2 linked regions of the Xenopus tropicalis genome follow. Each later gene encodes a partner of the first gene's protein in a complex. Links are inferred from orthologs where the notes say so. Each region holds a gene or a part of one and is shown on either strand. Other genes may lie near its edges. The genes, in order: nbr1 and gabarapl1.

What was found.
Region 2: the proteins of nbr1 (region 1) and gabarapl1 are in contact, whole or in part, in an NMR structure (PDB 2L8J), measured with the Homo sapiens proteins. The link is inferred for Xenopus tropicalis from reciprocal best matches to the Homo sapiens genes NBR1 and GABARAPL1. Residues at the interface, in NP_005890.2 of Homo sapiens: Ser729, Glu730, Asp731, Tyr732, Ile733, Ile734, Ile735, Leu736; in NP_113600.1 of Homo sapiens: Glu12, Tyr13, Lys16, Glu17, Lys20, Ile21, Lys24, Tyr25, Arg28, Pro30, Lys48, Tyr49, Leu50, Val51, Pro52, Phe104.

Annotation. Positions count from the first base shown.
Region 1 is NC_030686.2:19,621,090-19,624,910, forward strand, and holds part of nbr1 (next to BRCA1 gene 1 protein), read left to right. Parts: intron 1-817; exon of another isoform or gene 818-866; 5' UTR 867-876; coding exon 877-978; intron 979-1,959; coding exon 1,960-2,022; intron 2,023-3,821. UniProt on the Homo sapiens protein: Ubiquitin-binding autophagy adapter that participates in different processes including host defense or intracellular homeostasis.
Region 2 is NC_030683.2:18,818,168-18,822,440, reverse strand, and holds the start of gabarapl1 (gamma-aminobutyric acid receptor-associated protein-like 1), read left to right. Parts: upstream 1-1,394; 5' UTR 1,395-1,477; coding exon 1,478-1,567; intron 1,568-4,273. UniProt on the Homo sapiens protein: Ubiquitin-like modifier that increases cell-surface expression of kappa-type opioid receptor through facilitating anterograde intracellular trafficking of the receptor. Involved in formation of autophagosomal vacuoles.

The sequences.
Region 1 (3,821 bases):
AAGAGATTGACAAAATTGGAAAACTGGACAGGAAAATGGAAGATGAGGTTCAGTGTTGACAAGTGCAAAGTTATGCACTTTGGTAGAAATAATATAAATGCAATTTATAGCCTAAATAGTAGTGTGTTGGGGCATCCTTAATTGAGAAGGATCTGGTGATTGTTGTAGATAACAAGTTGACTATTTCCAGTCAATGCCATTCAGTGGCTACTAATGCAAATAAAGTTCTGTCTTGCTGGTTGGATTGTCAAGGTTGGGGTTGTTTTCTCTGGGGAGAAAAGGTGCTTGCGAGGGGACATGATTACTCAGTACAAGTACATTAGAGGGCATTATAGGCAGATAGGGGATGTTCTTTTTAGATTGGAGGAACGGAACTTTCATTTGAAGCAGCATAAGTGAGGGCAGTGAAGGTGAGGGCAGTGAGGTTGTGGAATGCCCTTTCCAGTGATGTTGTGATGGCAGATTCTGTTAATGCCTTTAAGAGGGGCTTGGATGATTTATTAAACAAGCATAACTATCCAAGGCTATTGTGATAAAATCTACAGTTAGTATTGATGTTGGTATATATGGTTTATGTATTTGAGTGTATAGATAGGTCAGTATAAGTTTGTGTGTGCTGGGTTTACTTGGAAGGTTTGAACATGATGGTCTCTGGTCTTTTTTCAACCCAAAGTAACTTTGTGCAGGTATATACAATTGGCATTACAATTTGTATGTATCAGCTCAAGCTAAGTCTATGTTTCCATTGCAGAATTATCAATTCTTGGTAAATGATCAATACTCATTGATTTATTTTGTGTCTTTTCTATGCACGCAGAAATGATACATGACCAGTGAAATGCTTACTAGTGTGATGTGTATTGCAGAGCAGAGAGCATGGAGTTCCAGGTGAATTTGTGTGTGAATTATAATGGAGAATCCCAAAACTTTCTGGTTTCTGACTCTGAAAATACAACTTGGGCTGATGTAGAGACAATGGTAAGTACTGGTAAAACAGATATTGGTATTTATGTAATATTTGGGATAATATGGATGCATTCGCATTTGTAGTCCTGCTAATTCAGCTTAATGTAATAATAGGTGCAAAGTTTGCCCAGGTCTGGTTACCTAAAGCACCCAATCAGCTGATCAGTAATTGCTGCCTGCTGATTGGTTACTATAGGGAACGGACCGTCAAAGTTGCACCTTTTATTACACTTTCTCCTTAGCTTTGAAGACATTTGTTCTTATCCGAGCCGTTAATTGTTATAGATTTGCCCTTCAATGTGTTCCAGTGGTCTATTCATGCATAAGGTAGTGACATTATGCCTGTGTAACCCATATTACCCATAGGCCATTTAGGCTATGTATGTCACAGCGCCCCAGGTAATAGTAATCAGTGTAGGGTTCCACTCATGTCTCAACTTAAATTCAAAACAGGCTATGATATTTTAAAGGAGAGGTAAAAATCACTGGGGGGTGCCAAATGTTAAGCACCCCCAGTGATTGTAATCGCTTACCTTTTAATCCTGTTAGGAGTAAACCGCACCAGCCTGGGGTAGCGATCTTCTTACTTCTTCTGTCTTCACAACGCTTGCAAATGTGCAGTAGAGTGAAAAGCTGAACTTTAACAAGAAAACCAATGTTTTTGCACATGCGCTGACACTGGGTTTTAGAATAATGAAGAGATAGAAGAGGATTGTCTACCGTACCTGTTACACTACCCCGTCTGGTGCTGTTTTCTCCTAACAGGAGCACAAAGGCCACATGGCTAAATGTGCTCTGTGGGAGTTTATAGCAGCCCCTCTGCTAGAGTTTCATAATGTCTGGCTGGGCCTGGTTCCACTGGTAAATTAACCTTGTCCATAAGAGTAAGCACAATATTGTTATATTTAACAACAGAAATAAGAATTATCTCTCCTGTTGTGTAGTTCCTTATATCCTAATGCCAACAAAACCGCTAGTGTTTGTATTTTACAGGTGTGTGTCTCTTATGATCTAAATGGCATCCAAATCAAATACATAGATGAGGATAACGAAGAGGTGAGTTGATTTCATGTATATGCAGCAACATGCACTCAATTAGCCCAGCAATATCCAAGCAGAGGAATACCCCCAAATAATTATATAAATTCTGCACCTCATGTGTTTATATATACATGCCTCCAGAAATATCCTAAGAGCTCATATACTCAGTGGCAAAACAAGAGGGTCAGCCTGATTTGGCCCAGCACGTATGTGGCTACATTGAGAAAAGATCCACTTGTTTGGAAACATGTATTTCACCCCTTTAAAACTGGAAACCCCTTAACTGTCGAAAGAAATCTCACCAAGCGATGCAGCACACAAACTGATTACTACTTAGAAACCTAAAATTCTTGTTTTATTAAATGATGGGGAAATCAACCCTTTAAACAGTACTTTAGAACATCAGTTAATCAAGCCGTCCTTGCCAAAACTTATGTACAGGACCCCATATCCAATTGAGTTTGTACATGCTTCGGGAACTAGGGAGCCATCAGACCAATAAAAGATGGATGCAGTGGTGTTGTATACAGTTTCAAAGGAATGGATTAATACAGCCATCAACTGATATACCTTTAAATTACTACAGGTATAAGAGCTGTTATCCAGAATGTCCGGGGCCCAGGGTTTTCTGGATAAGGGATCTTTCTATCCTTTGGATCTCCAAAACTTAAGTCTGCTAAAAATAATTTAAATATTGAATAAATCCAATAGACTTGTTTTGCCTCCAAAAAGAATTAATTCTATCTTAGTTGGGATCACGTACAAGGTACTGTGTTATAATTACAGAGAAAAAGGAAATCATTTTTAAAAATTAGAATTATTTGCTTATAATGGCCTTTCCTTAATTCGGAACTTTCTGGATAACGGGTTTTTGGAGAAGGGATCCGATACCTGTACTAGTACAGTGTTAAAGGTACTGTACTTCAAGCTTTAGTTCTCTTTTAGGGTACAAAATCTGGCTTTTTAAATTGTGCACTGAGAAATAAACATTAACTGATTTCATCTGTGTTGCAGATCTGTACCCAATGGAGTAGATATCATGTGGCATGGGTACAATGGGCATGGGCAGGTGGAATCACATGGAAATCCACCATAATTCACTTTCAGTTGAAAACACCTGGTGGTACATACCCTTAAATATATGTGATATATTACACACAGCATTGCTTACTTTCAGTAGTTTTCTCCTCCCCCTCATGATGGTATTAAAGGACATGTAATCCCCGCACACAAAAATTTAATCAGTGAAACAGCCTCTTTGAAATCTTTCAATACCTGCCACACTGGTTGTCCAGAGGTTAATAGTAAGGCTGCAACATCTCCTTAATCACTTCGATTTCCTTCTCCTCCTGTAACCCACTTGGCCCTGTCCCTCAGGAATTTGCTTTGACTTCTGGCTTGTGGGTATGCTCAGTTGTTCTAAACTCAGATTACTAAACACGCTCTCCAGTCTAGCAGCCAATGAAGAGATGCATTGCTGGTTCCCATAGAAACTCAGCTCTAGCTGTCTGCTTCAATTTTTTTCTCGTAACTTTCTCGCCTGAGCTCAGCTCAAACAAAGCAGAACTTTTATCTGACAGTTCTGCCTGTGTGAGCCTGTATTGTGGATGAAATGTATGCTGAATAAGGATCTCTGTGTGTGTATGCTGCTTGCAGATTTAAATGTATCTGATTATGTATCAGAGGAAAAATGGCCACCGGGTAAAAGCTACTATTTGCTTTAGGAAAATGTACATGTCCTTTAAACAGGAGAGACAGGGACCCCTATTAGTAAAAGCTTTTGTGCATGATCATGCTATTTTTCAGTATTTATT
Region 2 (4,273 bases), on another chromosome or scaffold:
ATAGTTTTTGGCTGCCGGGGTCAGTGACCCCCATTTGAAAGCTGGAGAGAGGCAGAAGAGGAGAAATAATTAAAAAACTATAAGAAATAAAAAATGAAGACAATTTGAAAGTTTGCTAAGAGCTACCCCTTTAAGACTTCTGTCACAGAGAGGAAGTTAAAGGGGATTTCCACCCCTAAAATAGTTTTTTGCATAATGAAAAACAATCCAAATTTCCAGTGCACATTCTGTGATTTTCAAGTTATTTGTAAAGGAAATTTCAGCTAAAAGCTGTGTTTGTTTATCTCTTTCTGTTCTCTGGTTCTGACTCTTGAAACAATGTAGCAGGAGTCAGTTCTCCTCCAGGTCTGCTAATCAGTCGGCTTCTGTTATTGTGTTACCACAGTCAGAACCAGCAGTGCAGAAAAGGTATAAGTCAGTGGTTCTTAACCGTCATAATGCCGCGACCCTTTAATACAGTTCCTCATGTTGTGGTGACCCCCAACCATAAAATGATTCCTAACCCCTGTGAAAGGGTCCTTCGACCCCCAAAGGGGTCCCGACCCACAGGTTGAGAACCGCTGGTTTATCTTTTCCTGTTCTCTGGTTCTGAAACAATGTAGCAGGAGTCAGTTCTCCTCCAGGTCTGCTAATCAGTCGGCTTCTGTTATTTTGTTACGACAGTCAGAACCAGCAGTGCAGAAAGGGTATAAGTCAGTGGTTCTCAACCTTCCTCATGTTGTGGTGACCCCCAACCATAAAATTATTCCTAACACCATCAGAAATATGTGTTTTCTGATGTTCTTAGGCGACCCCTGTGAAAGGGTTGTTCGACCCCCAAAGGGGTCCCGACCCACAGGTTGAGAAGCGCTGGTATAAGTGAAAGTGTGGCTCGGCGCCAGGGAATAGATTATGGGCTACAGATCAATGGCCGGAAGTGGTTATACAGGGACTTTGGCCGCTCTCTGACGCAGGTTAATAATGAGGCCCAGGTCCCTGGCCAGTCGCAGGTTAATAGTGTTATGTACCGCAGTGCTGTACTGTTGTGTCACCTTGCCTTGTGACTCTGGCTTTCACGTGATCCACAGAGAATAAACAGGTGACTCAGACAAACAGGTTTGCGTGTCAATCACTTGCCATGCCCTGTGCCACTGCCTATTTACTATATCTCATCCTGGCCTGCACCCTTCCCACTAACCCCCACCCTAAAAACCCTGGAATATGATTTCAGCGCCTGCGAGCTATAGGGTTCTTTAAACTGAGACTGTTTATTTTTCATTTGTCCTGTCTGGCAGAGAGAAGGTTAATTTCAGCATCCCCCTTTGTTTTGTTCTGCTGGTACTGCCCAGGGGCGGGGCTTAGTGATGTCACATTGCCCTTGCTCAGTACACTGTAACATAGCTTGTTATTGCATCTGCTGAGCAGTAGACAGCGAGGGGCATCAGCTGACTGATATATACATTTATATACTGTATATACACTATCTCCTGGGGCAGCCATGAAATTCCAGTATAAGGAGGATCATCCTTTCGAATACAGGAAGAAGGAGGGCGAGAAGATCAGAAAGAAATACCCGGATAGGGTGCCTGTAAGTAGGGACAGCAGAGCTGTGTCATCTCCCTATGGATCCCACTCTCCATCCCTTGTATCCCTTGTATCTCTCTCCTACCCACACTGTATCCCTGTCCTACCTACACTGTATCCCTTGTATCCCTGTCCTACCCACTCTGTATCCCTTGTATCCCTGTCCTACCCACACTGTATCCCTTGTATCCCTGTCCTACCCACTCTGTATCCCTTGTATCCCTGTCCTACCCACACTGTATCCCTTGTATCCCTGTCCTACCCACGCTGTATCCCTTGTATCCCTGTCCTACCCACTCTGTATCCCTTGTATCCCTGTCCTACCCACTCTGTATCCCTTGTATCCCTGTCCTACCCACGCTGTATCCCTTGTATCCCTGTCCTACCCACGCTGTATCCCTTGTATCCCTGTCCTACCCACGCTGTATCCCTTGTATCCCTGTCCTACCCACTCTGTATCCCTTGTATCCCTGTCCTACCCACTCTGTATCCCTTGTATCCCTGTCCTACCCACACTGCATCTGTACAGCACCCTAATGTCCCCCTGTCAGCACAGATATGGGTTCCCTTAGAGTGAATTCCGACCCAAAAACTGCTTATTGCACAATGAAAGACAATGTAATTCCAAGCGACTTTCCCATGTACATTTGTTATAGTATTTCGGTGTTCGATGTCATTGCTATGGGAAGTACCGTCTGTTCCTATTCTCTGAACTCCTCCTGTGACAATGGAACAATGTAGCAGCCCCTGGGCGGGCAGGACTTCTGCTACATTGTTTCAACTCTGGAAAGGAAGCGGCAGAAAGGGAGAAATTAATGTTAATTTCAACGGCAATTACACTAAGTACAAACCATTAAAATGGAATGTACATTGGAAAGCTGCTTAGAATGACATTTGCTATCAGTGTGCGTAAAACAGGTTTTGGGTGGAGTTCCCCTTTAATTCCTTGGCTTTCTGCTGACGGCACAGAGCTTTGTAGTTGTGCTGTTCCTTCGGTAGGGAGCTTTGTGCTCTCTGCCAGACTTCCTATGGGCCGCAGTCATTGTTAGAGACATCTGTAAGAAAGAAAGCCACTCATTGTCACCTGCCCCTCCTCCGATTCCTGGTCTGTCACCTTCTGCTGCCACTGAAACATGTACTGTCTGTTGCTATGGACTGTCACTGCCACTGCTGCAAAGCCATTGGCTGTCAGCTGCCCCCACTGCAGAGCCACTGACTGTCACCTGCTGCCTTTTCCTTGGCTCATACACTGCCCCCCCCCCCCTGCTATAGATCTGTAGCTTTATACCCCCCTCCCAGGCTACAGCTCCTCATTATATCAGTCCCAGCAGTGCGAGTCCTGCATGTCACTTTCCCTTGGTGCAGAACATTGTCCTGTCTAGTTACTTATTGACTGTCACTTTCCCTAACCGCAGAGCTTGCAGAACCATGTACTGTCACTTATGTAAGCTCTACGGGGCAGGGACCTCCTTCCCACTGTGTCTCATACCACATGGCACTTATATATATATATATATATATATATTGTATTTATTTATTATATCACTTGTCCTCCCTGTGTGTAATTGTGTATATTGTAAGATTTTACAGCGCTGCGTACCCTTGTGGCGCTTTATAAATAAAGTTATACATACATACATACATACTCTGGCTGCAGAGCCTTGTCCTGCCTTGCAAGCGACTATACACACTCGGAGCTACTAGTAGCAGCTACTTTTTCACGGCTCATTAAATGATCAGCATTGTCTAATTTAGTAGCCAAGACAAGTAGCTGCTACTAGTAGTTCTGTGTGTCTTCACCCTAAGAAGGATTTATCTCAAGGTGGGGAGGCATAGGCCTTTCTACAATGCCCATGTTTGTCTTCTTCTCCCAGGGTAAATACATTAGTAATACTAGTCATCAGGGACAGACCTTCTCCTGCTCCCCCCCTGTATATAATAATTACGTTATTGTCCGGTCCCCTGGTCATAAACTGTTATTCACAAGAGCTATGAATATCTTGTAACTGATATCCTTATAAACAGTGCTTAGTGATGTCATTAGTTATAAACGGTGCTCAGTGATGTCATTTGTGTTACATGCAGGGTCGGACTGGGCTGGCAGGACAAAAACGTGGTGGGCCCCACTGGCCCAGAACTGATCCCTGCTGGGCTCTCCGAGGCCCGCAGGTCCCCCTCTCCCAATGTGCCTAAGTATGCACGCGTGGGGGAGGGGGTTGGGTGGGCAGCAGGGGCCCGAGGGTGATGGGGACCATGGTGGAGGTCCCTTGGGGGGGGGGTGCAGAGCCCCCGCGGTGACTTGTCTTACAATTTTGAGTTCCCTGACCTGTATAAAAGTGCTCAGCCTGTGTCCTTGTGCGTTTATATGGCTATGGGTCTCATATGTAACTGTTAATATCCTTGTAATACACAAGAACCATGAGTTTCCTTTAACATATATCCTTATAAACAGTGCTTAATGATGTCTTTGGCCTTGTGTTTTTATATGGTCAAAGTGACTTATAATATCCTTATATTTGTATCTTTCATATAACCAAGAGCTTTAATGTGGATTCTATAAAATGTTAATATTTATACATTATAGAAGAGATTGCAGGGCTAATTAGTAATCTATCCCCCATATGTTATACAAGGCACTAAGTTTCCCCAGGAGCAGTAATAGCAACCAGGAGGTTGAGTTTACTGGTCATGTGTTTAAAAGCAAACATCT